Rattus norvegicus: one gene and its partners. The protein of the gene in region 4 interacts with the protein of the main gene of each other region in a pairwise test. Links are inferred from orthologs where the notes say so. Each region holds a gene or a part of one and is shown on either strand. Other genes may lie near its edges. The genes, in order: Phf1, Cdc73, Zcchc10, Tfcp2 and Car1.

Evidence for each region.
Region 1: the proteins of Tfcp2 (region 4) and Phf1 interact in binary tests that used the Homo sapiens proteins (3 or more experiments, as listed by UniProt). The two-hybrid records come from large-scale screens. The link is inferred for Rattus norvegicus from reciprocal best matches to the Homo sapiens genes TFCP2 and PHF1.
Region 2: the proteins of Tfcp2 (region 4) and Cdc73 interact in binary tests that used the Homo sapiens proteins (3 or more experiments, as listed by UniProt). The two-hybrid records come from large-scale screens. The link is inferred for Rattus norvegicus from reciprocal best matches to the Homo sapiens genes TFCP2 and CDC73.
Region 3: the proteins of Tfcp2 (region 4) and Zcchc10 interact in binary tests that used the Homo sapiens proteins (3 or more experiments, as listed by UniProt). The two-hybrid records come from large-scale screens. The link is inferred for Rattus norvegicus from reciprocal best matches to the Homo sapiens genes TFCP2 and ZCCHC10.
Region 5: the proteins of Tfcp2 (region 4) and Car1 interact in binary tests that used the Homo sapiens proteins (3 or more experiments, as listed by UniProt). The two-hybrid records come from large-scale screens. The link is inferred for Rattus norvegicus from reciprocal best matches to the Homo sapiens genes TFCP2 and CA1.

Annotation. Positions count from the first base shown.
Region 1 is NC_086038.1:5,017,759-5,024,083, forward strand, and holds the start of Phf1 (PHD finger protein 1), read left to right. Parts: upstream 1-2,216; 5' UTR 2,217-2,418; intron 2,419-3,079; coding exon of another isoform or gene 3,080-3,100; coding exon 3,101-3,259; intron 3,260-3,341; coding exon 3,342-3,423; intron 3,424-3,519; coding exon 3,520-3,615; intron 3,616-3,967; coding exon 3,968-4,068; intron 4,069-4,159; coding exon 4,160-4,308; intron 4,309-4,449; coding exon 4,450-4,545; intron 4,546-4,673; coding exon 4,674-4,742; intron 4,743-4,829; coding exon 4,830-4,953; intron 4,954-5,036; coding exon 5,037-5,104; intron 5,105-5,199; coding exon 5,200-5,304; intron 5,305-5,425; coding exon 5,426-5,594; intron 5,595-5,686; coding exon 5,687-5,781; intron 5,782-6,126; coding exon 6,127-6,207; intron 6,208-6,325. Other genes in the region: kinesin-like protein KIFC1, read left to right, coding at 1,008-1,052. UniProt on the Homo sapiens protein: Polycomb group (PcG) that specifically binds histone H3 trimethylated at 'Lys-36' (H3K36me3) and recruits the PRC2 complex. Involved in DNA damage response and is recruited at double-strand breaks (DSBs).
Region 2 is NC_086031.1:57,992,639-57,998,244, reverse strand, and holds part of Cdc73 (parafibromin), read left to right. Parts: intron 1-1,349; coding exon 1,350-1,455; intron 1,456-5,107; coding exon 5,108-5,177; intron 5,178-5,606.
Region 3 is NC_086028.1:37,973,340-37,978,945, forward strand, and holds part of Zcchc10 (zinc finger CCHC domain-containing protein 10), read left to right. Parts: intron 1-2,154; coding exon 2,155-2,313; intron 2,314-5,606.
Region 4 is NC_086025.1:133,502,400-133,508,005, reverse strand, and holds part of Tfcp2 (alpha-globin transcription factor CP2), read left to right. Parts: intron 1-547; coding exon of another isoform or gene 548-689; exon of another isoform or gene 690-1,302; coding exon 1,303-1,351; intron 1,352-1,905; coding exon 1,906-1,999; intron 2,000-2,960; coding exon 2,961-3,051; intron 3,052-3,857; coding exon 3,858-3,967; coding exon of another isoform or gene 3,968-3,979; intron 3,980-4,332; coding exon 4,333-4,475; intron 4,476-5,606.
Region 5 is NC_086020.1:88,584,352-88,589,957, forward strand, and holds part of Car1 (carbonic anhydrase 1), read left to right. Parts: intron 1-1,811; coding exon 1,812-1,930; intron 1,931-4,571; coding exon 4,572-4,667; intron 4,668-5,223; coding exon 5,224-5,286; intron 5,287-5,606. UniProt on the Homo sapiens protein: Catalyzes the reversible hydration of carbon dioxide. Can hydrate cyanamide to urea.

The DNA of each region.
Region 1 (6,325 bases), on a different chromosome or scaffold from region 4:
CAGGTCCTCTGTAGGAGCCGGTGCTTCTAAACACTTGAGTCATCTCTGCCTCAAGATGCTGAACCCTTTATAGGTTTTCATTTTTGAGTTCCTGTCCTGAGTGACTCCATGTGTGCCCGTAGGCTTCTATGTGGAGGTGGGCGCTACAGATGCTTACATCCTGACCTCTGACATCTCCACCTCCCCTTCCTGATCCTCACAGCAGCGCTCCGTCTTGGTCGGCATGAGCTCCTTCAAGTTAGCTCCTGCCTGGTCTGCTTAGGCTGGGCAAGCGCTCTCCCACTAAATAATAACCCCAGCGCTCGTGTGTCCTTTGGTCTGAACCTAGTAGTCTGTTTCCAATTCTCTTCTGTGATATTTTTTTCTCAGGAGCCCTAGTTCTCAAAGGAGTTCAATGTCCTGATAGGTTTTGTAGGAGGGCTTTGGGGTGTCTAGTCCAGGGCGTTGCTGAAAATGGAGACCTCTCTGCTGCTGTAATCCTCGTGTAGGTGTCTTCAGTTAGCTTTCTAATCCTGTGATTAAAACACCATGATCAAAAGCAACGTGGAGTAGAAAGGGTTAGTCCATTGTCAGGATGTCAGGTCGTTACTTCTGTAGGCCATAATGGAGTTGCTGCTCCTCATCGCTTCCTCAGCCACCTAATAACACACTTCATTAGGGACCCACCTGTTCATGGGTGGCACTGGCCCTCGAGAGGGTAGGGTCCGCCAACATCAATCACTAATTAAGAAGAGGCCCTGTGGCTTGGTCCCTCTTCTCGAGCAAGGAGTAGCCTGTGTCATGCTGACATATGACCAGCGGGCATATCTCTATCATCTTTTCAGACTGCTGGTCTCCTCCAGGTTAGTGGACACAGCACCACTGTCCCTCCAGGGGGTCAGGCCGAGCCTGCTGCCGTAGTCCTTATTTCAGGGAGTCAGACAGTGGGCCCAGCATTGGGGCAGAATGGGAGACTTCGGATTGTAAGCAGTGATCTCGTGTAACCCTATTCACTGGTCCATCCACAGGTGAACCAGTGCGTGATCGGCACTGCTCAGGCTAATAAGAAATGAAGATGGATGCAGAGCCTGGCTCCTGTGCAAGCGGGTGTGCGTGTCTGTTTTGTGTATATGTATAACACGGGGGTGGGGCGGGGCTGAGACATGATTTTATTGGGTGGACAACATTATGTACCCAACTATCAAATAAAGAAAATTTGGTGTAGGTTAATTTTTTTCTTAATCTTAGATTTAAAAAATTGTGTGTGTACAGTTGTTTAGCCTGAGTATATACATGTGCACCATGTGCATGTCTCCTGCTCCTTGAAGTTCAGAAGAGGCTTCGGGGCCTCTGGAACTGGAATTATGGACAGTTTTGACCATCGATGTGGGGTCTGATCAGTAAGTGCTCTTAACCACTGAGCCATCTTTCCAGACCCTGTTACAGCTCTTAATGGTTTTATTAATATTGGTAGCTGCCAGATGAAGTATTGTGAGTAAATACCGTAAGATGTAGAAATGTCCATTTTGACCTGTTTTGCAGAGTGAGGGAGGCTATGGGCTTTCACTTGGAGGGACACACTAACTTTGCTGCCTGCCCTGGTGCCTCTCCTCTGTCCTTCAGCTCAGGGAGTTGTGCCCATAGTGCCCACACCGGGCCCTCTGTGACCAACTAAATCTCTCACTTCCCCTGCCCACCGGTTCGAACCATGGTTCGGTCCGTGCCGCCTAGTGCCCATTGGCTGGTGTGGGCGCGTCACCGCCCCAGTACTAGTTCCAAGTAGCCTCTGGTCCTTTCCCTCCTAGAGGAGCACGGCCATGCCAGTGCTCGCCGCGGGAGGAGTGGCTGTGTGCCCAGGTGCGGCGCGCGGGCGGGGCTACGCGTGCGCAGAAGGGCGGGGCAACAGAAAGCGTGAATGAGGAGGGCGGTTCCGCGTGCGGAGGCGGAGCTTGGAGTGGCCACGGGGGCGGGGCAACTAACGGATGTGGCATGGGGCGGGGCCCGGCCCTGACCTGCAGGCTAGCTGCCAAGAAGGTTATTTCCTGCTGCCCTCAGAGCAAGCCTCCTATCCGAAAAGGGGGCTACAGGGATTTCCTCGTCCTCCCCGACCGGCCGCGCCTCCAATAGCGCAGCGCCCTCCGGGCCTACTGGAGGTGAGGGAGGTGCTGCCTACCCGCCCCTCCGTCGTCTCCTCCCACTGGTGCTCCCCACCCTCCACTCTCCTCCCTCCTTCTGTCGACTCCTCCTGCCGCTGCTGCTGCTTTGGCTGCTGCGTCATACGCCCCAGAGCGGCCAGGACGGAGGGGCTGGGCCCGGGGACCCCCCTGGCCTCCACCTGCACGCCCCTCGGCGCTCACACTCAGTCTTCCCGCACCGGGGACTCACCCAGATCTCTTGGGTCTGCCCCTACCTGGCTTCCAGCTGCCCCAGCTGTCACCGGTAAGGAGAAGGCGGGAGGCCCGGAGGGGGGGGGGCAGGGAACCGGGGGTCGGTGCGCAGGAAGGGCTGGGGGAGCCTCCTGGTCCCAGTTTGGGATCTGTGCTGGGGCGACTCAAGTCCCTCCGTGGACTGGCAGTGTAGGGGAGTAGAGACTTGGACAGGGACACGCCCCCCTCCTGGGGCACTCAGGGAAGTTATCTAATCCCAGGTCAAGGAGCCCCAAATTTGAGGGTGACCTAACATAACCTGGCACCAGGATGGTGGCTCTAAATAAGACACACAAGCCTGGGGAGGCAGCTGTTTCTACTCCTTTAACGTCTTTAGAAAAGCTCCCAAAACATCTCCGGGCAACAGATTGCCCCAGTTAGGCTACCTCTACACAGCTGGGAAAGGTGAAACTAAGTGGTAACCTTGATTCTGCAAACATCTTTTCCACCGGAGGTCCGGAGGAGCTGGGATACTACGGAGCTAGGCAGGGGAGATGGAAAGGAGTGGAGTAGAGAAGCTGACCAGAACGACCTGCCTCCTCGGGGTTCTAAAGGATTACGAGACTGGGGTTGGAGATTCCTGGTCAGGGTCAGGGTTTCTTCATCCGTAACAGAAAACAACCCACACAGGGACACTTTCTCAGCGCTCATAAACTCTAACCATCCTGTTTCAGAATAGCCCACCCCAGGATGCAATGGCGCAGCTCCCCCGGCTGAGCCGTTTGGGTGCTCCCTCTCTTTGGGACCCAGCCTCCCCTGCTCCCACCTCAGGCCCCAGACCTCGGCTTTGGGAAGGTCAAGATGTGCTGGCAAGATGGACTGATGGGCTCCTGTACTTGGGCACCATCAAAAAGGTGAGGCCCACCTCTGATCCCCTGCCTTCCCAGGCCGGTCTGATTCCTGCCCCCACTTTACGGTCTTGGTCATCCACTCCAGGTGGACAGTGCGCGGGAGGTGTGTCTGGTCCAGTTTGAGGATGATTCCCAGTTTCTAGTTCTATGGAAGGACATCAGCCCAGGTGAGACCCTTCAAAGCACAGCTTCCCTCTGCAGCAGCTGGAGCCGATGGGGACGCTGGGTTGAAGTGGGCCTCCTGACACTTTGTTCTCTCACAGCCGCCCTTCCTGGTGAGGAGCTCCTCTGTTGTGTGTGTCGCTCTGAGACCGTGGTCCCTGGGAACCGGCTGGTCAGCTGTGAGAAGTGTCGCCATGGTGAGAGGGCGGGATGTTTAGGGGGTGCAGTTTGCCCTGGGTCTTCTGGGTTACCACTAGAAGGGTTACCCTCCCTCATAGCGTGAGTCACGCACGTCTCCTGCCTGGGCCAGTCCTCACCCTGTCACCTCATCTCAGTACAGGGAGAGGGAGCGTGGATGCAGGTGACAAGGCTGAGGGCCTACCGTAGCTCGCTCACATTTCTTAACCAAGCTTCCTTGGGCAAGGTCCTCAACTGCTAGAAGCCCGTTGACTCAACTTGAGTGTCAGGATGAGACCTGCCAGCGGGACCGGTCTTAAATGCCCTGGTCAGGACTTAAAGGCCACTCTGTGGCCTTCTCTCCTCATTCAGCCTATCACCAGGACTGTCACGTCCCCAGGGCCCCAGCCCCTGGAGAAGGAGAGGGCAGCTCCTGGGTCTGCCGCCAGTGTGTCTTTGCGATTGCCACAAAGGTAAAGGCACCTCTCTGCCTGCTTGTGTGGGAGCCTCCCGTGACCTCTCCTCCTTCCCTGCCCTCTGAGGCTTCCCTCTGTTCCTCTGCAGAGGGGAGGTGCCCTGAAGAAGGGTCCCTATGCCCGGGCCATGCTGGGCATGAAACTCTCCCTGCCGTACGGTCTGAAAGGGCTGGACTGGGACGCCGGACATCTGAGCAACAGGCAGCAGAGCTACTGTTACTGCGGGGGCCCGGGGGAGTAAGTGAAGGAAGAGCAGGGCCAGCCACGGCATGGGTGTTTTGTGGTGGTAGAGCCCAGGACAGAGGGGAGCGAAGAGGGTGAGGGGGGGCCCTGTGGTTTGAAGAAGGCTGAGGGCCATGGCGCTGTCTTCCCCTTGAGGTGGAACCTGAAAATGCTGCAATGCCGGAGCTGCCTCCAGTGGTTCCATGAGGCCTGCACCCAGTGTCTGAGCAAGCCCCTCCTTTACGGAGACAGGTGAGATCCAGGGAGACTGCACAGGAGCCTGGGGTGCTCTCTCTCCCGCGCTCCCGACTGACTAGTTAGCCCTCTGCAGCTCGTACTGGAGGGTTGAGTGAGGTCCCTCTGTCCTGACCCATATACAGATTCTATGAATTTGAATGCTGTGTGTGCCGGGGCGGCCCTGAGAAAGTACGGAGGTTACAGCTTCGCTGGTGAGAAGGATGGTGCTCTCCGCCATTTTACTCTATGACTCCTGACTCCATAATGCTGCTGCTGTTGACAATCTCATGCTCCTCCAGGGTGGATGTGGCCCATCTTGTTCTCTACCATCTCAGCGTTTGCTGTAAGAAGAAATATTTCGATTTTGACCGAGAGATCCTCCCCTTCACCTCTGAGAATTGGGACAGTCTGCTCCTGGGGGAGGTAAGGGTTCTAAAGTTTGAGAACTGGGGTTTTTGGAACAAGGAATGCGTGCTCCCTGGGACCCATTTACCCTCTTCCTTCAGCTTTCAGACACTCCCAAAGGAGAACGCTCTTCCAAGCTCCTTTCTGCCCTTAACAGCCACAAGGACCGGTGAGTCGGAAGAGGGAGGCTGAGGGAGTGATGTGCCAGCCTGGATGAGGGGACTTGGCAACTGCCCTGATCTGCGGATTTCCCCCTTGTCCCAGTTTCATTTCAGGGAGGGAGATTAAAAAGAGGAAATGCCTTTTTGGTCTCCATGCTCGGACCCCTCCTCCTGTGGAGCTTCTCACTGGAGATGGATCCCCCACCAGGTCACTGGTCCAGGGGGGATGGGGGAAATTCTCAAGGATCTGTTTGGAGGGTACATGTACAGAAAATGGGGGTCTTGGGGTGCCTGGGAGGGGGCTGGGGGGATAAGGAGGCCTCTTACAGCTTCCCTTCAGGGCAGGGCCCTGGGGGAGGGGTCTCACGTCCCCTGGGGAAACGCCGGAAGTCGGAGCCAGAACCCTTGAGGAGGAGGCAGAAGGGGAAAGTGGAGGAACTGGGGCCACCCACAGCAGCTCACAGTCGGCATGGGTCCCAGGAGCAGAGGGCCCTGCAGGTACAAGGGCAGGGGAATCCCGTGGGGCAAACCGGTGGGGGTGTGTGAAGGAGCCAAGGGTCATCTCACAGCCCCTCTGCCTTCTTCTACAGGCCTCAGAGTCTCCACCACCCCCCAGCCCTAACCAGAGCTACCAGGGCAGCAGCGGCTACAACTTCCGGCCCACAGACGCCCGCTGTCTGCCCAGGTCAGTACCCGGTTCAGATGTACCCAGTCATTCCCTTCTCCAGACTCTGTCACCTGCAACTGTTTTCCCTTTCCGCCTTCTTGCCTCAAATTTTTTTTTTTTTTTTTTTTTTTTTTTTTTGAGCCGAGGACCAAACCCAGGGCCTTGAGCTTGCTAGGCAAGCACTCTACCACTGAGCTAAATTCCCAACCCCTCATCTCAATTCTTGTACCAAAGAGGTGTAGAGCTAACTGCCGCCCAGCCTTCTGGGTGCGCAGGCGCACTAGCGGTAGTGTGAGCTCAGACCTTCTCAGGGAAGGCATGCTTCCCTGCTCCCGGTGCTGACCTGCCTGTTCCCAACCCCAGCAGCCCCATCCGGATGTTCGCCTCCTTCCACCCTTCTGCCAGCACTGCAGGGACCTCTGGGGACAGTGAACCCCCAGACAGGTGAGTCTATCCTGTCAACACCAGTCCCCTCCTTTCCTTATGTGACCTTAGGCTTTAGTCTCTCAAAGGCATGGCCACCCGTCTGCCTTGAATGTTGTGTTCAATAGCATACCACCCT
Region 2 (5,606 bases), on a different chromosome or scaffold from region 4:
TGTGTGTATCTCTAAAAGACTAGTTAGTACCCTTAATGCATTCAGCGCTTTCTGCTATTTTATGATAATTACTTTGTATATTAATTAACAATGAATGATTTGACATATCACTTCAGAGCAGTGGTTCTCAACCTGTGGGTTGGAAGTGTGGGAAGACCCTCACAGGGGTCTCCTACGGCCATCAGAAAACATAGGTACATTTATAACAGTAGCAAAGTTAAGAGTTACGAAGTAGCAACGAAAATTATTTTTTAGTTGGAGGTCACCAGAACAAGAAGAATTGTATTAAAGAGTTGTAGCATTAGGAGGGCTGAGAACCACTTGCTTAGAGTAAAAGTGATAATAGAGGCTAGTAAAGGAGGTTTAGGACAAAATAAAGTGAGCTGTATTTAAATGGATTCCTACAGTTGAACCATCATAAGTAGATGGAGGAGAAAGGAAGGGATTGCAAAGTGGTGTGTGCGTTAGCATTAGAGAACTTGTATCCCCAAGACTACATTACTTGATCACAGTATTTTAGTTTTGCTTTATTGGTTTAGTTTGAGAGATGTTATAAGGATCATCTCCTTGGAGTACATCCTTTTAACTTTCAGAGTATTGTTGAAGATGTTGTATAGCAGTATCTTTTTTAGAATTATAAGATGTATATCTTTTAAGTGCATCCTTAGTAATACCTTCATCTAGTTTGTTTTCTATGATAATCCTTTCCATTGTGCAGCTGGTTGGATTTTTTTTTTTTTATTTTTTCTGTTGACAGAGTCCAGAACTCAAGTCTTATTTTAAAATATGTATACATATTTAGAGTTGGGATTGAGGATGTAGCTCAGTTGGTGTGATGCTTGCTTAGTATGTATGGGTTTCGGCACTTGATCCCCAACACCACATGCAAAGAAATATGGTGGAGTGTACATGCTGTCCTCAGCTGTGTAGCAGAGTTGAGGCTAGCTGGGATACATGAGACCTTGCCTGTCTTTTTTTTTTTTTTTTTTTTCTATTCTTTTTTTTTGGAGCTGGGGACCGAACCCAGGGCCTTGTGCTTGCTAGGCAAGCACTCTATCACTGAGCCAAATCCCCAAACCCGAGACCTTGCCTGTCTTAAATAAAGAAAAGAAAGAGTATATATGGTATTTTAAAGAATGAATTTATGTGCTCTCCCTGTTTTTTTTTTTTCTGCATTTTTTTGTTTACTTTTGCCCAATGACAACTCATTGTGAAAGTTTATACTGCATGTATGTTTTTGCTAGGTTAAATACACTGTTAGATAACCAACTAGATATAGATAAATGAATGCATGTAACTGAGCTCAAATATTTATCTTAATCTTAATAAAAGTCATGCCTTAATTTTAGGACCGGAAAGGAAGGCCAACCCAGAGAATACTACACATTGGATTCTATCCTATTTCTCCTTAATAATGTGCACCTTTCGCATCCTGTTTATGTCCGACGTGCAGCTGTAAGTAGGAGTCATTTTAAAACTATTGATCAAATAGTTATAGATAACTTCACTCATGGGTTTCAAATGTCTGAAATTGTCATGGAGAGTGAAAATTAAACTGCTACGTGATTTATTCAGATTTTTTAGTTGGCAGTTCATTCATGTAAAATATAGGTAACATTTATAACAGAACTTTTTTTTTTTTTCTTTCTTTTTTTCGGGGCTGGGGATCGAACCCAGGACCTTGCACTTCCTAGGCAAGTGCTCTACCACTGAGCCTAATCCCCAACCCCATAACAGAACTTTTAAAAGTGACTACATAGATGTTTCAAAAAATATAAGTAGAAGAACTCTGATAATTCAGAACTATAGTTTAATTTCAAGAAAACTTTTCTTAGTATAAACATATTATAGGAGAAGGCATAAGAATGATATAAATTTAGTACTAAAGTATGAAAATCTCAATAAACCCAACGTAAGCAGATACTTCTTTAGAATTTTAACCAGAACAGTTCTTTTGGTACTTTATTGACAAATGTATTGTTTTTTAGTTTTATCTGCTTTGTCAGTGTTTGAAAATTCATTGTTGAGAGGAAATTATTAGGAATAATTAAAAATATTTCATTTCACAAAGATTGTTATGATGAGGTTCTTCTGCTGGCAAGGGACTGTTAAGTAGGATTCTGAATTATTTGAGTTTGACGTTGCAGCTTGGCATACATGTGCAAATTATGATGGTTCTCCAGATATTTCTCTGGGTATTGGGAGGACACAAGTCTCATGTAGCCCAGGCTGGCCTCTAGCACCTGTCTAATTGAGGATGACCTGAGCTTGTGCTTCTCTTGCCTCTACCCTCTAGTACTGGGATCAGATGTGTCTGCAGTCATGTCCTGTTAATGTGGTATTGGGCACTGAGCCCAGGCTTTCATGCTTGCTAGGCAAGTACTCTTCTTCTGAGAGACGCTGCAGCCCTTTAACTTTTATTAAAAGTGGTCCTCCATCAGATTTCTTGATGGATCAGACATAGAATTACTTTGGAGATACTGATATAATCAAATATCTACTCTAAAAGCTGTTTTAACTTTACTGCATTGTCTTAATTTGAAAGTAGTTCTTTCATTTCTGAATATTCTCAAAACAAACCCATAAAATCTTCATTGTGACTTCCATCACTAGAGATATTTTTTGGCAGCTTAACACTACTGCTGGATTGCATTATGTTGTGTGAAATTTACTCTTACAACCTTTCCTTCTAAGTAGAGATAGTTGAGGCTTTTGAAAAGTAACTTGTTATTTGGACCAGTTGTGAAAGTACCTCATTTATTCTGCTTCAGTAGGACTGTTTTTCTGAGTAAGAAACATATATTCAGTGTTAAATATATGTTTAAAAATCTTAAAGTTGGTAAGTAGTAGGGAAAATTAATAATTGACCATTACATTATTTATTAGATCTTTAAAATCCTAATTAAGCAATAATTAGAATTGTTTGTTAAGTAATTTACGTACTTAGAGCTATAAACATTTCATATATCTATATATTCATGTATGTATATTTATATATACATATATATGTATGTATACATACATAGTTTTGTTTTTTGAGACGTAGTTTTTCTGTTTAGCCCTGGCTCATCGGAAATTCATTCTGTAGACCTGGCTGTCCTGGAACTTAAGAGATTCTCCTGCCTCTGTCTCCTGAGTGCTACCACTGCTCCGCAAGACTATTCTTCGAGTGGCTATAGTTCATAACTTATAGTAACAGTTATTGTGGACTCTAGGACTTACATTTATAGTCATATAAGATATAACCCTTGCTTTACTTAAAATTTCTCCAAATGAAATGGTACAGAGATCTAAAATTCTGCAGCTTTACAGATTAGAGGTTGCTTTTTAAGTTGCCATGTTCCTTGCTCTGTGCTGTGTGCTGACTCTTCCTGGAATAGGTGCTCTGATCTCTGGGGCTTTGTAGAGTCAGTAGACCTGCAGCTTCTCAGGTGGGTCATAATGTGGACATAAACAATACTTAGATGGTTCTGAAATACATGAGTAAGCTTTGAGATAGTAATTTAAAGAATATCAATTCAGGCTGGGTGGTGATAGTACATACTTTAATCTCCGTACTTGGGAGGGAGAGGCAGGGGGATCTTTCTGAGATCAAGGCCTGTCTTGTCTCTAGAGTGAGTTCCAGGACAACTGGGTCTACACAGAGAAAACCCGTCTGGAAAAACCAGAACAAAACCAAAAAGACATTAATTCAGATATGTGTAATGTTCCAGATACACTGGTTAAAAATGACAAGGAAAGAAATACTTGTAGGTTTTAAACTTGTGTACAAATATATATTTATATTTATATTCCTTATATAAATTTTAGATTTTCCATGTATAGCTGAAGAAAAATAAGCGATTTACTTGTTCAGCTAAGTCAGAAAAAAGTATGTGCAAATAATGGGTGTAGTGACTCAGTGGTCATTGTGATGCAATTGGCTAGTGATACTAAGGGTTCTCATCACTTCATTGTTGTTCATAATACTCAACAAAGGTTTTAATCTATGCAATCCCTTAGAAACCAGTTTTTCTTGCACTCTCTTGTTTACATTAGAAAAATGATAAGAAAAATTGTGGTAATGGCAAAAGTCGTTGTCCCAAAGATGACTCGATACCTGCAGTATACATTTTATTTATTTGTTTTAATCTTGAAAAGAATTGCTGGTTTTTTGTTTGTTTGTTTTTTGTTTTTAACTTTAATGTCTACATGTGTCTCTTAAGTACACACGACTGCAGGTACCAGAGAAGGCCAGAGGCATTTAACTCCTTCCCTGAACTGGAGTTAGAGGTGGTTGTGAGCTACCTGTAACTGGGAATGCTAGGACGCAAACTGTGGTCCTCTTAAAGAGCAGAAGGGCTCTGATTGCTGGGCCATCTCCCAGCCCCAATTCCAACCATATGTTTACAAGTAATGATTGTAGGTGGATTAAAGAAAAACTTCATTTTTCTAAATTGATAATGTGTTCACACAAGAACTTTAAAATCTTTTTTCTCTCTATTTGAATTTATATACAGTCTAGGATAAAAAGAAGTGTAGAGGGTTAATCACTACAGTCAACATTTTTATAGTCTATTTTTCTCATTCTTATCAATTATCAAAATATATATTTAGTGGTTTATGTAATTTATTTGGAAGGATTTCAGTTGAATAGTTTGAAGAGGTTTGGTCTGGGTGGAGAAAAGCACTGCAGATACTGTATAAAATGAGACAACATTGAAGCACAAGGCCCTGGGTTCGGTCCCCAGCTCCGAAAAAAAGAACCAAAAAAAAAAAAAAAATGAGACAACATTGAGACTGAAAAAATGTGGCTTCATAAGTGCATAACATCCTGAGTACAGTTAGAGCAGGAAAGCCAAGGGATGAGAGAGAGAGACTGGGATTGGTACATTGCAAAAAGATAAAAGTTATTTTTAACTGTCTCGAATAAATCTTTTTGAAATTTCAGAAGTAAATTATTGAAAATTAACATTTGAGAAATTTTCAAAATTTTGTTTTTAGCAAAACAATTGTGACTTTAAATACAAGTTACCAAGGTATGTTAGATAAATTCAGAGATTATATGGTATTTATCAAGTTTCATAGTTGCTTCTATTCAATGTCTAATTTAAAATTTTGGATTTAGACTGAAAATATTCCTGTGGTTAGAAGACCTGACAGAAAGGATCTCCTTGGATATCTCAATGGGGAAGCATGTGAGTACTAAATTTGCTCTCACTCTTAGATAAGCCTTCCTATGAACATAGATGAAGTGGAAAATTTTGTATTCCAGTAGCTTACCAGTAGCTGTGTCTTTGTGCTTCTTCCTGAAATTGCACAAAGTGTCTCTTTCTAGGTTGTCACTCCCTCGTGTGAGTGCTCTTTGGATACTATCAGAGGCTTTGCCTTTGTACATTAGTATTTCTGTCTTGCTTTGTTTTCTCCTCAATCATTACCTTTTAAAAGAGATGGAGGAGAGATATATGCTTTAAAAGTATTGCTGATTCCACATTTCTACTGTTCCCTTTTTATTACTATTAAAAGGAAGAGTTGACAGACTATCACTGCTTATTCGTTACCTCTTTCTTGAAGTTCCTTCTGCCTAGTTTTCATCCTCACTATCCCCCTGAAGTCAGTGAATTGCC
Region 3 (5,606 bases), on a different chromosome or scaffold from region 4:
ACCTCATAGAGATCCTCCTGCCTCAGCCTCCTGAGTGGTAGGATTAAAGGCCTACACTTGTATTGCTTTTCTTTCTTTCTTTCTTTTTTTTTCTTCCTTTCTTTAAGATTTATTTAATCACTTTATTCACACACACCAGAAGAAGGCAACAGATCCTGTTACAGATGGTTGTGAGTCACCATGTGATTGCTGGGAATTGAACTCAGGACCTCTGGGAGAGCAGTCAGTGCTCTTAACCGCTGAGCCATCTCACCAGGCCTGTATTGCTTTTCTTAACAGGTTTATCTTCATCTTTGCTAAATATTTTTCTTAGATTTAGTATACAGTTCCATTGTGTATTTTTGGTTTCTGGCTGGTCATCCATCATATTCCCTGTCCCATCCGTTTTGTTTACCACAGATCTCCATTTCACTCTGTTCTCAGTCCTGCCTCACCCCTCAGGATCCTGGGATTACAGGAGTGCACTGTGTCTAGCTTTAAAATAGCTTAACTTTCTTCTTTATATAATATTTCCAAAGGCTGAACCGAGGAGTAACGTACGCCAAGCAAAAGTTTCACCACAAAGCCCGACAATCCCTCTCTATGTGCCAGTCTTTAGAAACATTTTTTTTTTTCTTTTTTTCGGAGCTGGGGACCAAACCCAGGGCCTTGCGTTTGCTAGGCAAGCGCTCTACCACTGAGCTAAATCCCCAACCCCTAGAAACATTTTTTAAAAGCTATTTTATGTGTGTGAGTGCTTTGGCTGCTTGTCATCTCTACAGCATGTGTGTCCCTGGTGCCCTCGGAAGTCAAAAGAGGGTGTCAGACCCCTTGGAACTGGAGGGAGAGATGGTTATAAGTCGCCGGATGGAATCTGGGAACCAAACCATTTATCCTTTGCAGTAGCAGCAAGTGCTTAACTGTTAAACCGTTTCTCCAACTCTAAATATGCTTGGTTTTGGACTGTAGCCTGTTATGTGACAGGTCTAAAATTTCCCCTTTGTGGTGCTTTGGTGCTCCAAAAAATGTGACCTGTATTGCAGAAGGGTCTTACTCATAAAATTTATTAATAGATAAAGTTTGGGTTTTTCTGTTTGTTTGTTTGTTTGTTTGTTTGTTTGGAAGCTCAAGGACTATTTTATTAAAGTACAAGGTGGTTGTAGTGGCTCACACTTTTAATCCTAGTATCGTGTGGCAAGTGCCTTAACCCACTGAGTTATCGCACTGCCACCATTTTTCATGAGTAAGTAAAAAAGTGATAGCAGAGGCAGATCTATGAGTTCAAGGCCAGCCTGGTCTACAGCTGCAGAATCAACCAAACAAATAACCTTTTTTATTTGCGCGTGTATAGGAGTAGAGGACAACTTGTTGGGGTCAGTTCTCCTCCTTCCACTACACAGACCTAGGGATGCAGCTCAGGTCTTTGGGCTTACAGCAAACACCTGAGCTATTTCCCAGCCTTAAAGGTGTTTTAACAGGTTAGAGGTCTGCCTTAGTAGTAGACAATTCAGGAAGGAGGCTCTGAGTTTAATATCTAGCATTTTGCAAAGAAAATAAAAATCTTTATTATCCTTTATATTCTGAGCTAAAAATGTTGGTCCAAATACATCATTGCTGGGATGGGAAAACTTAGAATTTTTGTTGTTTGTTTTGCTTTGCTGAAACACGGGGTCGCTCTGCAGCTCAGGCTGACTTTGAACTCAGAGCCATCCTCCTACTTCGGCATGAAAGTGAGGAGTATAAGCATGATATTCGGTGCTGGGCTTAGAAGAGCAAGACTCGGGCCAGGGTTGGGGATTTAGCTCAGTGGTTAGAGCGCTTGCCTAGGAAGCGCAAGGCCCTGGGTTCGGTCCCCAGCTCCGGAAAAAAAAAAAAGAACCAAAAAAAAAAAAAAAAGAAGAGCAAGTCTCGGGGTTGGGGATTTAGCTCAGTGGTAGAGCGTTTGCCTAGCAAGCGCAAGGCCCTGGGTTCAGTCCCCAGCTCCAAAAAAAAAAAAGAAAGAAAAGAAGAGCAAGACTCAGCTCCTTCTGTTGAACCCCAAGCTGCATGCATTGGTCACTTAAGTAGCTTTGCAGACTACGGTAAACATTGCTTGATACTTTCTGCTCTTTTAGGTCAGACAGTGCCCCAAGACAAAACTTCCAAGGTTTGTTGTGTTCTCTTTTTTCTTTGTAGTGAAGCCAATAAGCAACACGTAAGATGTCAGAAATGCTTGGAATTTGGACATTGGACTTATGAATGCAAAGGGAAAAGAAAGTACCTACATAGGCCTTCGAGAACAGCAGAGCTGAAGAAAGCTTTAAAAGAAAAAGAAAATAGATTACTGCAGCAAAGGTAGGTTTACCTGTGGTATTCAGGGGCCTTACAGAATCCTTTGCAGAGTCGGTTAAGGGGCTGAAAGTTTCATTATAATGCTAGCTGATACTTTTGTTCATTCTGGGCTTTGGAGACCTTCTCGCTATGTAGCTCAGGCTGTCCTCCTGTCTCAGTTTGCAGTTTTCCCGTCTCAGTCTCCTGAGTGCTGGGATTACAGGTGTGCACCGCTGCCACATCCAGCTTATAATACTATCGGCTGATTTTTAATGAATGGTTACTCTGTCTGGGCCCTGTGCATGCTCTTTATAAGTACTAGCATACTTAAACCTCAAATCTCTACTAGTAAGGTAGCTATTATTAACCTATTTGTGCTCACATATGTACAAGCGTGCACACACACACACACACACACACACACAAATTAAATTTAAAAAAAATAATAGATCATGGAATCAATGCATGCTTTTTTCCAAAAAGAAATCTGTAAGAACTTGCCTATTGGTTTTCTTTTTTGACTTTCTCCTCCCCTACCCTTTATTATAAATTAAGAATGTGGAGAGGCCCTTAGTCCCACCCAAAGAATAAATAAGGACAGCGGAACAAGATTTTCATTTAAAAAGATCCTATTGAGAATGGTGAAAGATGATGACCTACAGGCACTGGTCCCATTCTTACAACAGGGAAATCCTCACATGGCCAGTGAACCAGGCTTATATAATTAGTTACCGTGCAGAATTTACAGCTTAATTCCTACACTGGACAGGAAGGGATAAGAGTGAATTGTCCCTAGATAATACTCCTGACTGGATTCCCATGTTTTCAAGTTCAGAAGACACTGAGCATTTCAGTCTCATCCACTTAAGCTAAGTGTGGGTGTGTACACCTGTAATCCTAGCATTTATGGAGTAGGAGCATCAGGGTCATCCTTGGCTACATAGTATATGTCAAAGCAAGCCTGGACTGTCTCCAAAGTTAAAAAACAGTCAGGTTTGGTGGTCCGATCTTTAATATAAGGCAGAGGCAGGTAGGTCTCTTCTTTTGAGGCCAGACAGTGTTATATAGTGACATCCTATCTTCAAAAATATCTCCCTCTCAAATTGACAAGAAAGACTTTGTAAAGCTAAAAATCTTTTGGACAGTAAAGGAAATCACTAGATGAGTGGGGGGGGAAAAAACCAAAATAACAGCCTATCAACTGGGCCAGGATCTTTGCCTGCTAAGAACTGATACTTAGAGTGTGCAAAGAACTAAAATCACTACACAAGAAAACAACCCAATTTTAAAATTTGGACTAAGGAATTTAATAGTGACAAAGAAATACAAATGGCTAATGGATTTTTTTTTAAAAGTGCCCAACATCCTTAGCCATCAGAGAAATGCAGAATGGCCAACAAAAGCTGGCAAGGATTATCCTTGGATAAAGAGAAGCCTTATTCACTATTGATGAGAGTGTAAACTGGTGCTTTGGCTACTATGGAAATCAATATGGGCTCTAAAAGTAAAAAAACAACAAAAAAAAAAACCTAACTAGAATGGCCATATGACCTACTTACAGTATTCTGGGCCTCTAACCAAATGGCCCTAATCCCACCACAGAGGTATTTTAGCTGCCATGCTCATTGCTGCTGCTCCATAGCAAGCAAATGGAATCACCCCTAGGGGTGGGGAGGATTAAGAGATAGGAGCAGGGCAGGTATGGGACACATGAAATGTGAAAGTCGATAGGGCTGTGTGGGGATGGAGAGCAAAAGGAAGAACAAGTATTCTCACAGTAGGCCAAGGATACAGCTAAGTGGTCAAGTGCATGTATGAGCCCTCCACCCCCAGTACCACACATGCTCTCCCCCTCCCCTCTCCCTCTCTCCCCTCCCCCATGTGTCTGTGTGTGTGTGTGTGTGTACACACTTGCTTGTGTGTGTTATATATAATAGATACTTTTGTGGCTTTTCTGTATCAAAACTTGATCTTTTTGGTAAGTCATGTTTCTGAAGAATGAATGTAAAAATTAAAGTTAGAAACTGAGTTAATAAACTTCGCCAGATTCTAACAATAAATATCTACCCAGCCAGTATTATAGCTCACACCTTTAATTTCAGCACTCAAGAGGCAGAAGCAGGTAGATTTCTATGACTTCATGGTCCAACCAGTCTGGACAACTAAATCCATGTTATCTGGAGTTGGGTAGGTAGACCTTGTCTGGAATTAACTAATTATTCAGCCCTGCCAGGGCTGATGTCTAGACAGTGAGGATGGTCTAGGGTTTGACACACCACTGAAAGCTTTTCTGTATTGTGATCTCTCACAAAACAAGGCAATGGGGGCTGGAGAGGTGGCTCAGCAGGTAAGAGCACCAGCTGCTCTTCCAGAGGTCCTGAGTTCAATTCCCAGCAACCACATGGTGGCTCACAACCATCTGTAATGAGATCTGATGCCCTCTTCTGGTGTGTCTGAAGACAGCTACAGTGTACTTATATATAATAAATGGGGTTGGGGATTTAGCTCAGTGGTAGAGCACTTGCCTAGCAAGCACAAGGACCTGGGTTCGGTCCCCAGCTCCGAAAGAAAAAAGAAAACCAAAAAAAAAAAAAAAAAAAGAATAAATATTAAAAGTAAAAATAAAAAACCCAAGGCACTGCCTGCTCTCGGCTAATAGAATCGCCTTCTGTGTACGGCAGAAGTAGGAGTATACACAGCACTGCAGACTTTGAACTAAAATTCTCTCATGAGATTGGCTAGAGTGAAACAACATGTCTGCAGGCCTGTGGTGGTTCTGTGTGGTGAATGTGTCTGTGACAGGATCAACCTATTTTCCTAATCAAGAAGCAGAAACTCGTTTTGAAAACCTTTAAGGTACAAGGTAGAACGTGGGCTGAGATATGGCTCCGTTTGCAGAGTGCTTGCCCAGCATGCACAGGGTTCTGAGTTCCATCCAGCGCCATCCATCAGGGAATAGGTGAGTTCAGGCCTAGCCTGGGCTACATGAGACCTTGTCTCAAAGAAGAAAAAGAAAACAGTGAAATTGTATGAGGTGCAGAGTGCTTGCACAGCATGTGCCTGCCCTGGACTTGAACCCGCACCATGTGTTGTGGTGACAGGAGCAGTTCTGTAATCTGAAAGCTGGATCCGTGTACATGCCGATGGCAGAGATGCAGCTCATGCTCGGATGCTCTTTGTGGTGTCAGGGAGCAGCCTCACATTATTGAGATTCCATGTTTTTGTTTTTGTTTTAAACAACAACTAAAATTTTGGAAACTGTACAGAAATTAAATTTGCTTTTGTGAAATTTTCAAATGGCCACATGTGATTCTAGG
Region 4 (5,606 bases):
TCACATTATGTAGCCTTGACTTCCCTGGAACTGGCTATGTCGACCAGGTGGGCCTTGAACTCCTAGAGATGTGTAGGTTGATGTCATTATGCAGGTGAAGGTATCCTGTCATTGGATGAGAAGGAAGGATGGGTGGGAGAAAAGTTTTAGAGAGGCAGAGGAGGCAGGAGCGAGAGAACGCAGCTGAGACAACATGGTGGCAGATGTTAGGATTCTTCTCTGCGCACAGACACAGGTTGTTAGGACTGTTCTTAAGGGATGGGTGTGTACAGGATTTTGTGCTGTCTAGATGGGCAAAGTATATCTAATCAATTGGATCAGAGGTTATTGTGTGCTGTATTCTTTCTTGTGGCGACTTAATTGAGTCCACAGTAAGAGAGCCTCACAAGATAGGCGGTCTCTGTATGAAACTGGGGTGGCATCGACCCGCCTTGGGAACTAGATGGGAGATTGCTAAAGATTGCTGCCCGGGCTCAGAGAGTAGTCGTGGGCAGTATGAGATGGGATGGAGCTTAGATGATGAGACTGAGATGAAAATATCCCGCAGATGCCATGTGGTCCTACGGTGCCAGCACTGGCTCAGGATAAAAAAAGCCCTTTTATACTTTTACAACAGAGATCCACCTGCCGCTGCCTCCCAAAGTGCTGGTGTTAAAGGTGTGAGCGATCCTGTGCAGCCCAGGGTATGATCACAGTGCACATTTTCTTCTAAATCTTAAGTACACGAGACTGTTGATATGTTTAATATGAGAGTGATATGTACTAGGACGTTTATATTCCAGTATCTTTTTTCTTTTTGAACTGAGAGCCTCATGCATCCTAGGCAAATGTTTATGTAACCTGAACTCCTTCTCTCCCCGCAGAGATTTATTACGCCGGTGATAACTTATAATTTACTCTGTCAGTTTCTATTTATTGAAATTGTGATCCTCAGGGTTTTTTTGGTTTTTTGCTTTTTTTTATCTTTATTAACTTGAGTATTTCTTATTTACATTTCGATTGTTATTCCCCTTCCCCGTTTCCGGGCCAACATCCCCCTAACCCCTTCCCCTCCCCTTCTATATGGGCTTCCCCATCCTCAGTTTTTAAAATACATTTCAAATGACATAGTTTCTTCCCTTCCCCTGAAGTCTCTGAGTTAATTAGCACACGGCTTAAGTATTGGGTCAAAGAAGAGTGTTTTCAGACACAGTAGAGAATTCTCTGAGCTCTCTAACTTGAGAGTTATCATGACAATGAATCATGAGGTGACATACACAGAGTGCCCTGAACTCACCCTTCATCTTCACTGTCTCTCCTTAGAAACGGCTCGCCCAACCACCAGCCAGAGCCACCCCCTCCAGTCACGGACGTAAGTCTAGAGCCAATGTCAGTTATCTGTAGTGTGTAGGAGGGCTGTTGTGGTGACTGATTCTGTCACACTCACTTCACAAATGCTTCCTGAATTTCATCTCTGACCTGGAGATGTACGAAGGACTAGAAACAGGCAGGACCTTGAGGTATTTTGTTTGTTGTTTATAGGCTTCACTGTGCAGCCCGGGCTGACTTAGGACACATTCAGTGGCTGTCCCACCTCTGCCTTCCTGCACAGGGTTCCAAACGCACGAAGTGTCACTCCTTTTCCTCCTCCTCCTCCTCTTTCCTGAGGCTCTCATTTGTTTCCCAGTCTGTGTAGTGTGACTTCTCACATAGCTGCCACTACCCGGTTTGATCCTTGAACAGAAAGAGCTTTCAGTCTGATAGTGAAGTATCTCTTGTGGGTGGAGAAGACCCTGTGTGATAGAAACAGTTCGGAGCCACTAGCTAGTGTGACTGTGGAGTGTGGAAGGAGGAAGTGGTTGTGTGTTTTCCAGTGAGGTAGCAGATGAATCTACTCACATACCAAAGAATGCATTCTTCCTTCAGAACCTCTTGCCAACAACCACGCCTCAGGAAGCCCAGCAGTGGCTGCATCGAAACCGGTTTTCCACGTTCACGAGGCTTTTCACCAACTTCTCAGGTTAGATTACCTTTTCCTTCAGCCTTCTCCAGCATGGGGTGTTCATGTGCGTCTCAGGTCCTCTCAGTGTCCCACATGGAATGTGTCGGGGAACATTTCAGACTTCTCAGCCAGCTGTAATGGTCCTATGAGTCCTTAAAGGAAGCAGCTTTTCATTGGAACTCATTTAAGCTTTTAAATGTTTTTTTCTATATAGCACTCTTAAATGTGGTTTGGTGGCACACACCTCAAATCCCAGCATTTTTTTTTCTTTTTCTTTTTTTCGGAGCTGGGGACCGAACCCAGGGCCTTGCGGTTGCTAGGCAAGCGCTCTACCACTGAGCTAAATCCCCAACCCCAAATCCCAGCATTTAAGTGGGAGGCAGATGCAGGTCTGTATGAGCTCAAGGCCAGCTGGGTCTGCCTAGTGAGTCCCAGGACAGCCTGACTCTGGACACAGACAGACAGACGTCTTTCATCTGATCCTTTATCAAGGAACAGATAGACCCATCCCTGATACCACTGTACATATTACTTACACAATACGCTTTTATGCAGCCTTCTGTGAACATCTGTGTGGGAACGTATAGTTGATAAGATGTCCTGTTTTGAGGGCTTCCATCATCTATGTAACAGAAAGGTCCAGTCAGAAGGAAATGCACTAGATAAGCACACACAGAAGTGTGTGAGGTGAGACTGCAGGGGGCTGGTGTGAGCCTGTCAGACTGTGGAAGGGTATTTCAGACAGGAAAGCAATTCCTGTTCAGCACAGTCAGGCTGAAAGCATAGGGTTGGGTGGAGAAGTTAATTGGCTGAGAATCGAGACAGAAGGTGAGGCAGAGGCCAGGCTACAGGCCTTTATCTGCTGTAGACATAACAGACTGTAGACTGTAACATACTGCTCATGAGGGGATGACTGTCACATCCTGAGGAGTCTTGGAGTATTTGCCTTTATCACTAACTGTGTTTCTGTTTATCCCAGGGGCAGACTTACTGAAACTAACTAGAGATGACGTGATCCAAATCTGTGGCCCTGCAGATGGAATCCGGCTCTTCAACGCATTGAAAGGCCGGTGTGTACCTACTGTTCAGATGCCAATGAGAATGGATTTTAAATGAGTTAATGTTCAGGAATTTTTCACAGTACTCTGCCCAAATAAGTATGTCCTGTCAAAACATTAGAAGGAAACTTGTAATCAGTGGGTAAAGACATATGGTTAAAGGAAAGTCCTAACTCTGAGAACTGGTCCACCCTCCCCCCACTGTATACTGATGTGTGCCCTCCTACATACACAGGGACACACACAGACGTGCACATAGCGTCTGTATATCAGGAACTGAATTCTAGTGGCAAGAGCCTTTACCAGCTAAGCCGTCTTGCCTACCATATAGTAATATTTGTAAGTAAACAGCTTATGACCCTGACCCTCATGTGAAACAGTTACTCTTGCTTCTTGGATATTTCTAACCATTGCTCCAAAGCTCACAAGCTCCAGTGACCGCAGGAGCTACTTGATCCTGTAAAGGATCGACAATCTAGGGTTTAGTGAAGCCTTGGGAGAACAAGGTCTCGGCTAGCAATAGTGTTCTCTTACCCTCTCTCCCCACTCTTCCCCTTCTCCCCTTTTCCCCCTCTCCCCTTCTCCCATCCCTCTTAGTGCTGAGAATAGAACCCAGGGCCTTGAGCTTGCTGGGCCAACAGTCTGCTCCTTGGCCAGAATTTAGAAGCTTAAATGGTGCCTCCTGTTGCAACGAGTCATCATAAACAAACAACAAAGCCCACGGTTGCGAGATAAGGAAACGAGTAACTTGCTTTTGGCCCAGGCATTAATAGATTTCCTTTGTGTAAAGCTGATGGTCCTTTTTCTTCTCCACATAGGATGGTGCGTCCAAGGCTGACCATTTATGTCTGTCAGGAGTCGTTGCAGTTGAGGGAGCAGCCACAGCAGCCGCAGCCGCAGCAGAAGCAGGAGGACGGAGATTCAAATGGTACTTTCTTTGGTAGGTTGTTCTGGGCAGAGCAGGCGGAAAGGAGATGAGATGACTCATGGCTGGTGTGAGAGTGGGACCAGCACAGCATTAGCTGGAGTTCTAGAAGGACTCTAATCCATACATGTTATGTGCAGTACTTTTTATATGCTTGACTTATTGAAACCAGTAATATCCATGGTCTGTAGATTTTCATGTCCTCTCCAGCGTTTAGAAGAGGGAGTGACTAGGCTTGTGGAGTAAGTGTTCACATGGTTCACATGGAGAAAGGGAAGCTGAGGCAGGATCTGCAGCAGGTGGTGTGGTCTCTGAGTCTCTAGAGATGTAATCCGCCTTTGCACTGACTCCTGTTCTTTCTTTTGCAGTGTACCATGCTATCTATCTAGAGGAGCTGACAGCTGTTGAATTAACAGAAAAAATTGCTCAGCTTTTCAGTATTTCTCCTCAGCAGATCAGCCAGATTTACAAGCAAGGGCCGACCGGAATCCATGTGCTCATCAGCGATGAGGTCAGTGTCTCCGTTCAGTTGAATGACCAGCCCACAGTTTGTTAGGGCCTGTGGCAGTGTGAGAGCTGTTCTGCCAGGGTTGAGTGTGTTTCTACACAGAGGGTTAGCTGTTTAATTTTAATTCTTTTTAACAGATGAATGGTCTTGCTATTTTGGCCTGACTGACCCTGCACTTGTGGGTTCACATGATCCTCCTGCCTCAGCATCCTGACAGGGTATCTGGGGCTGTTGGTATGAACCACTGTGTCTGGCTTAGATGTTGTTGCTTACTTACTAGTTCTTAAAAATTAGAGTAAGGTTGGGGTGTTAATGCACCCCTGGAGCCCTAGTACAGAGAAGTTTAGGCAAGATAGTGAATGCAAGTTCATCTCTGGGTATGTGGTAAGTTCAAGGCCCATGTAACCCATGTGAGATGATCTGCAAAAAAAAAAAAAAAAAACAAAAAACCCAAATAGGCAAAGCCAAAAACTGGAGAGGGAGATGTGGCTCAGCAGTTATGAGTGTTTACTGCACAAGATGAGGACCAGAGTTCAGATTGTAGAACCCATGATTTTCAGTTAAAAAGGATGTGCCCCCCCCCCAAATGCCTTAGCCCCAGCGTGGGAAGGGCACTGGGGCTTGAACTCTGCCAGCCTACCTGGTGGGACCGGACCAGGAAAGGAGACCCAGCCTGCCTTACCAACAAGGGGGGGAGCAATGGACCAGGAAAGGAGACCCCGCCTGCCTTAACAAGGCGGGAGCGATGGAGCACATGTGATAATGAATTTGGCCTCTGTGTGTGATTGAATACTCATACACATGTGTATGTATACATACATACACCTCATACATATAGGCACACACACATGCAAAACTATTTATCTTTTGCACATTTTTAGTTTAACTTAAATTTGAACAATTGTAAAAGCTTTCTAATTTGAAAAAAATCTAAAAACTCATATTCCTATACATATACACACTCTGTGCGTGTGTCTGTCTGTCTCTCTCTGTGTCTCTGTGTCTCTCTGTCTCTCTCTCTTACACACACACACACACACACACACACACACACACACACACACACACAAACGTTAAGATGGGATAGATGATGCTTCTAATAATCCCAGTTTGTGGAGGAAGGCAGGAGTGTTC
Region 5 (5,606 bases), on a different chromosome or scaffold from region 4:
CTTGTTCAATCCAATAGTTAGGCGCAGTCATCTTCATTTGTGTCAATAGGGCTCTGGCAGAGCCTCTCAGGAGACACCCATATCTGGCTCCTGTCAGCAAGGACTTCTTGGCATCAGCAATAGTAACTGGGTTTGGTGGCTGCATATCCCCAGGTGGAGCAGTCTCTGGATGACCTTTTCTTCAGTCCCTGATCCACTCTTTGTCCCTGCCTTTCCTCCCGTGAGTATTTTGTTCTCCCTTCTAAGAAGGAATGAAGCATCCACATTTTGGTCATCCTTTTTCTTGAGCTTCATATAATCTATGAATCTATTCTTAGGTATTCCAAGTTTTTGGACTAATATCTACTTATCAGTGAGTGTATACTATGTGTCTTCTTTTGTGGTTGGGTTACCTCACTCAGGATGATATTTTCTAGTTCCATCCATTTAAGAAGCTCATGTAGTGAAAATATATTTATTATACAATACATCCTGACCAGTTTTCCTTCCCTCTACTCCTCCCAGATCCTCTCCACCTCCCTTCTCCCCTAGATCTACTTCCCCTTCATTTCCCTTTAGAAAAGAGCAGGTGTCTAAGAAACAACAATGAAACTGGATACAATAAGACATGGCAAAAGCCCTCATATCAAGGCTGGACAAGGCAGCCAAATAGGAGGAAAAGAGTCCCAAGAGTAGGCATAAGAGTCAGGAGGGGCTTCAGAAATTCCACAGCATACCATTATTTTGCACATGCACTTGTGCATCTCATAATTGTAATATCTTGGGGGGGGGAGTTGTGACTTCTTGGAAGATTCCTTGCAGAGCTCCCAGCTTAATTCTTATTAACCCTTATTAATAATCCATTTGACCTATTCCAGCCATTCCAGAAACTTTGTGCTCATATATCTGAATAAGTAACATTTCTTCAAAAGAGTATAGTGAGCAAATCATTATGATCATGAAACCAAAAGGGCATATATTCTAAGCAGAGTGAGAGTAGTTGAGTGCAATGGTGAGACAGGTGATGCACAGATTCCCCTCATACCCTAGAGCCTGGCATGTTCCTTGCCACATGGCCATCAGTATTTATTGAATAAGCTGTTAAACGTTTATTCTCTAAGGGTTCCAGTGATAAAATGCAATTCTTGCAGTGCTTTCCTACAAGTTTCTAATTTTAAATGTCAGGTACCTTAGGAGCGTTAACACTAAGTTAGATCTAGTGCTGGGATTGCTATCATATGCAATCGTATGATTGGACAGGCTCCCCAGGCTGGACTGTCATTCAGACCAAAATTTTTTAAAGTAGCCTTGCATGATAGGCAGTATCACTTCAACCCTGGCCAAGAGGTTCTCAACAAATTTTTTTCAGGCTATGTTGTTATATCTTTACTAATTATATAATAAACCATTATATAATAAACCATGAGGTTTATTTATTTAATTAATAGAAATTGCTATAAACTCTGATACTTACTATCCACACAGTACAATTTAATGAATGAATAAACTTGTAAATTAATAGAGATCCAAGAAAAGCCCTTTGATCATATAACTTATTCCGTTTGAAACATGTCATTTTGGTTACATAAATAGGTAACTTTTTGGTTCCCTTCCTAGGATTTGTGGATATATCATGAGCTGTATTATTATGCCATAATCAGGAAGACACTATATAGAAGAGTGTCATCAGCAGGGATGTGGAGTGGGGAAACAGAATGAAAACATAACTTTGGCACCAACTTGTGCTTGCTTCCATCTCACACAATACGATGCAGCTTTGGTTTATATTAAAGATGAACCAAAGGTTTGACAGTAACTCTCTTTCCTTCTAGTGCTGAAAGGTGGCCCTCTTGCTGATAGCTATCGGCTCACCCAGTTCCATTTTCACTGGGGCAACTCAAACGACCATGGCTCTGAACACACCGTGGATGGAGCCAAATATTCTGGAGAGGTAGTGTGATATAATAATGAGATATAGTTCATGAGAATGCCTGTGGAACATCTCTGGTATTACAGAAGCTACTATCAGAATGCTTCAAAGGGGAGACCACACTGGTTTTTATATGGATGCCTAAATCCATTAAATCAAACACAGCACACCATACTTTGTAATGGAGGAATATTTTTCTATAGAAAGAAATATCTTGGGGTTGGGGATTTAGCTCAGTGGTAGAGCGCTTGCCTAGCAAGCACAAGGCCCTGGGTTCATTTCCCAGCTCCGAAAAAGAAGAAATATCTTAACTTGTAAAGGAGAGTTTATGAAAATCTTTGACATCTTCCCAGCTTCAAAGATTGTTCTATCATTTTTAGGACTCTGACTTGACTGGACATGCCAACAAGCTCTATTTACTTAACTTCCCAAATTTACCAGTAGCATGTATATATACAGACAAGAACACTGGAGTAACATAGCAGAACGTGCTGGATTTTAATCACAGAGCTAGACTTTAACGATTGCAATGGAGGAATATATATATATATATATATATATATATATATATGGAGAGAGAGAGAGAGGGAGAAAGAGGGAGAGAGAGAGTATGTATATATATGTTGAGAGTAATATAAGTATATATATTTTGAAAAACTAAAAAGTTTCACCTTTGGTGGAGATAAAAATGATAAAATATTCACTTATTTATATGAATGCATAACGTGTGTATATAACTATGATTACATATAGTTAAGATGGCTTTGTTAGCATTAATTTAATAAAATGAATATATGATTTTGAAGCTTGCTTTTTTACCACTTACCAATATAGCATCATTCTCCAAGTAAGAAGATTTCATTCCATGTCTTTTAAAATTAACTGCTTAGTATTATTATTTGTTTGAACTCGAATATCAGAATTTGTTTAACTAGACTTTCTGATGAACAATTATAATATCTGCTTATTATATACCACTGTGAGTTTTGTTGTTTTTACTTTTATCAAAAATGTTTCAACTAATAATTTATGCTTGTATCTGAAGTACCAATGGAAGTAACTACACAAGAGAGATTTTTCATAGAACAGGTTATAAAATATATTGCAGCTTATTGTGATAAAACTAGATGCTGGGGGAATAAATACAGATATAACTTGCTTTGTGGTATTTTTTAAGATTAGGTAATGCCTTTCAGTGTTGCAGAAGTAAATAAAAACTCTGTCCTAGTTTCCCCTTTACAAAACTGAAGTTGGACTAAAATGGAATGGAAGCCTAAAATATTATGCTTTAGAAAGGATACCTGTGAGTATTCATGGAATCCAAATCAGAGACTTTATTCACTCAACTAAGTTGATGAAAACATAAACTAAACCAATGACAAGAAAGATTTAGTCACAAAGTTCAATGTATTATTTACTATTCAGCTCAAACACCCACATGGGTGATACAGAAGGTACAAGAGGTAGGCAGGTAATGAGTGACAGGTGCAGGCTCCTCCCTCGACCTTCATGGAGTCAAAGCTAAACCATTTATTGGCTATATAATTCTTCTCACTTATACAATTGGGTACTATAGCATTAATCTCCTTGTACACTTACTGAGAGAATACTTACAAGGCATTTAGGCCAACTCCTACATTGTAAGTGCTCAGTATCATCACTTCTGCAGCGGGGAAAGCATGGGATTCAATGCAGTGTGGGTGCTCACATAGAATTGTCACCGGATGAGAAGAGTAGTTTTCAATGAAACACCACTTTAATTAGGGCTGGAGAGTGCTCTCTATCAAAAGGAGTGCTCTAATTGTTGTATTTTATTCATCAACTATTTATTGAGACTTTATAATATACTAAATATTTATTTTTAAAGTAACTGAGTCAGAATCTACATTTTGTAGAAGAATAAAATGGTTTTAAAAGAAGGGGGAGAAAAGAAGAAGGGAAGAAAAGGGGTAGAGAGAAATAAGAGATCAGATAAATAGCATGAAAAGAATAGATTTCAGTTATGAGAGTCACTTTATATGGGGTAATCAATTTATTTGAGGCATGGAATTTGAGTTCAGAAGAGGCAAAGGAAGGAAATTCCAGGAAGTCAGTAGCTAATACAAAACCCCAAGATATGAACAAATGAGATGGTATATTCAGCTGAGCATGGAGACTGATAAATGTGTAAATTACGAGATTTGTAATACCTGTGGTACTTTTTGATTAAGCACTTAGGTGTGTGGTGTTACCTTTCTAAGAGGAGAAAATAACACATGTAGCATGAGAAGCTGAGCCTTTCTCTGGCCATGTGACTCTTCAGGGATCTGTCAGACACTCCCTTGGAGATATCAAGACAGTATCAGGAACATACTCAGGTACACACTGATGTACAAGCCTAAAATTCCACCAAGAGTTTCAGCAGAATTTGACTGAAAGGATCCTGGGAAGGACACGGATATGCCCAAGTTTGTAAGCAAAGAGCTTCTTACAAAGTTATCTCATGTAAGAGAAAATGGTTTCACCTTTTATCCTAAAGTTAGTTACCCTTAGGGTCCAGGTGAATTTTATCTACCTGTGCCAAGACATATCTTCAAATATAACACATTTGCGTGTAACTCACGGTGCATCTTTTCCTTTGCATCAGTATTTGTAACCAATTACTTACATGTCCCTCTTCTAGCTTCACTTAGTTCACTGGAATTCAGCCAAGTACTCCAGTGCTGCTGAAGCCATCTCGAAGGCTGATGGGCTGGCAATCATTGGGGTTTTGATGAAGGTGAGTAATGAGTGCGTAGACCCCTCTGTCTCTTGATTTTTAAAATGGTAAATGTCCTGAAATGTATCATTTGAATTTGTGTTATCATTGAAGAGATGCTATGATAAAAGTCATCATCGGACTGGGTAAGACTGGGTGATGACATGACCTTTTGGATTACAGTATTTGGAGGTGACTTTTGTCAAACATTTATTTAGCATATGATCAAAATGAGTTAGGTATAACTAACAGCAGATAAAAGTGAAGATGTACTTTCGAGTCACAGTTTTGATATCCATTCAGAGTTTGTCTTACATAGTTTTCATCATCTCCTTCACCATTAAATGTAGTCATGCTTTCAGTTTACTATGTTTGTTATACCTGAAGAGAAATTTACAGAGTACAAGATCCCATAAAGGTATGTACCTCAAAAAAAATGTCTGCTTTAGGAACAGAACAAAATCCCATGTTCCTCTCTTCAGTTATTGATGTTAATTGAAAATTTAAATTTTAACTAAAGAGTATTTTATAAATCACAATCTCTATCTCATACTTTCTTTTTCCTTTAATTCTCCAGGTTGGTCCAGCCAACCCAAACCTGCAGAAAGTACTGGATGCCCTAAGCTCAGTTAAAACTAAGGTAAATAAGCTAACACAGCTAATTTAATAACAACGACACACACCAAAGTACAGGAATCATTCAGTTGCCTGTTGGGAACAGGAAGCATCAAGACAAGTGTAGAAGCCACCAACCACAAGGTACCATGGAACTGCTGCTTGCACTGGCAACAGTTGGCTTTGCTTTGTTTACATGGTGCTTTTCCTTTCAGCAAAGGACATTACTCAGTCCTTTTTAGATCTGTTAAAGGCCGATCACATTCTAGTGTAAGCCTTCTGTTCTGTGAAGAAAAACATGTTGATGTCTTTAGTAATGCAAACATATGGGCAGGAAGAGACCTA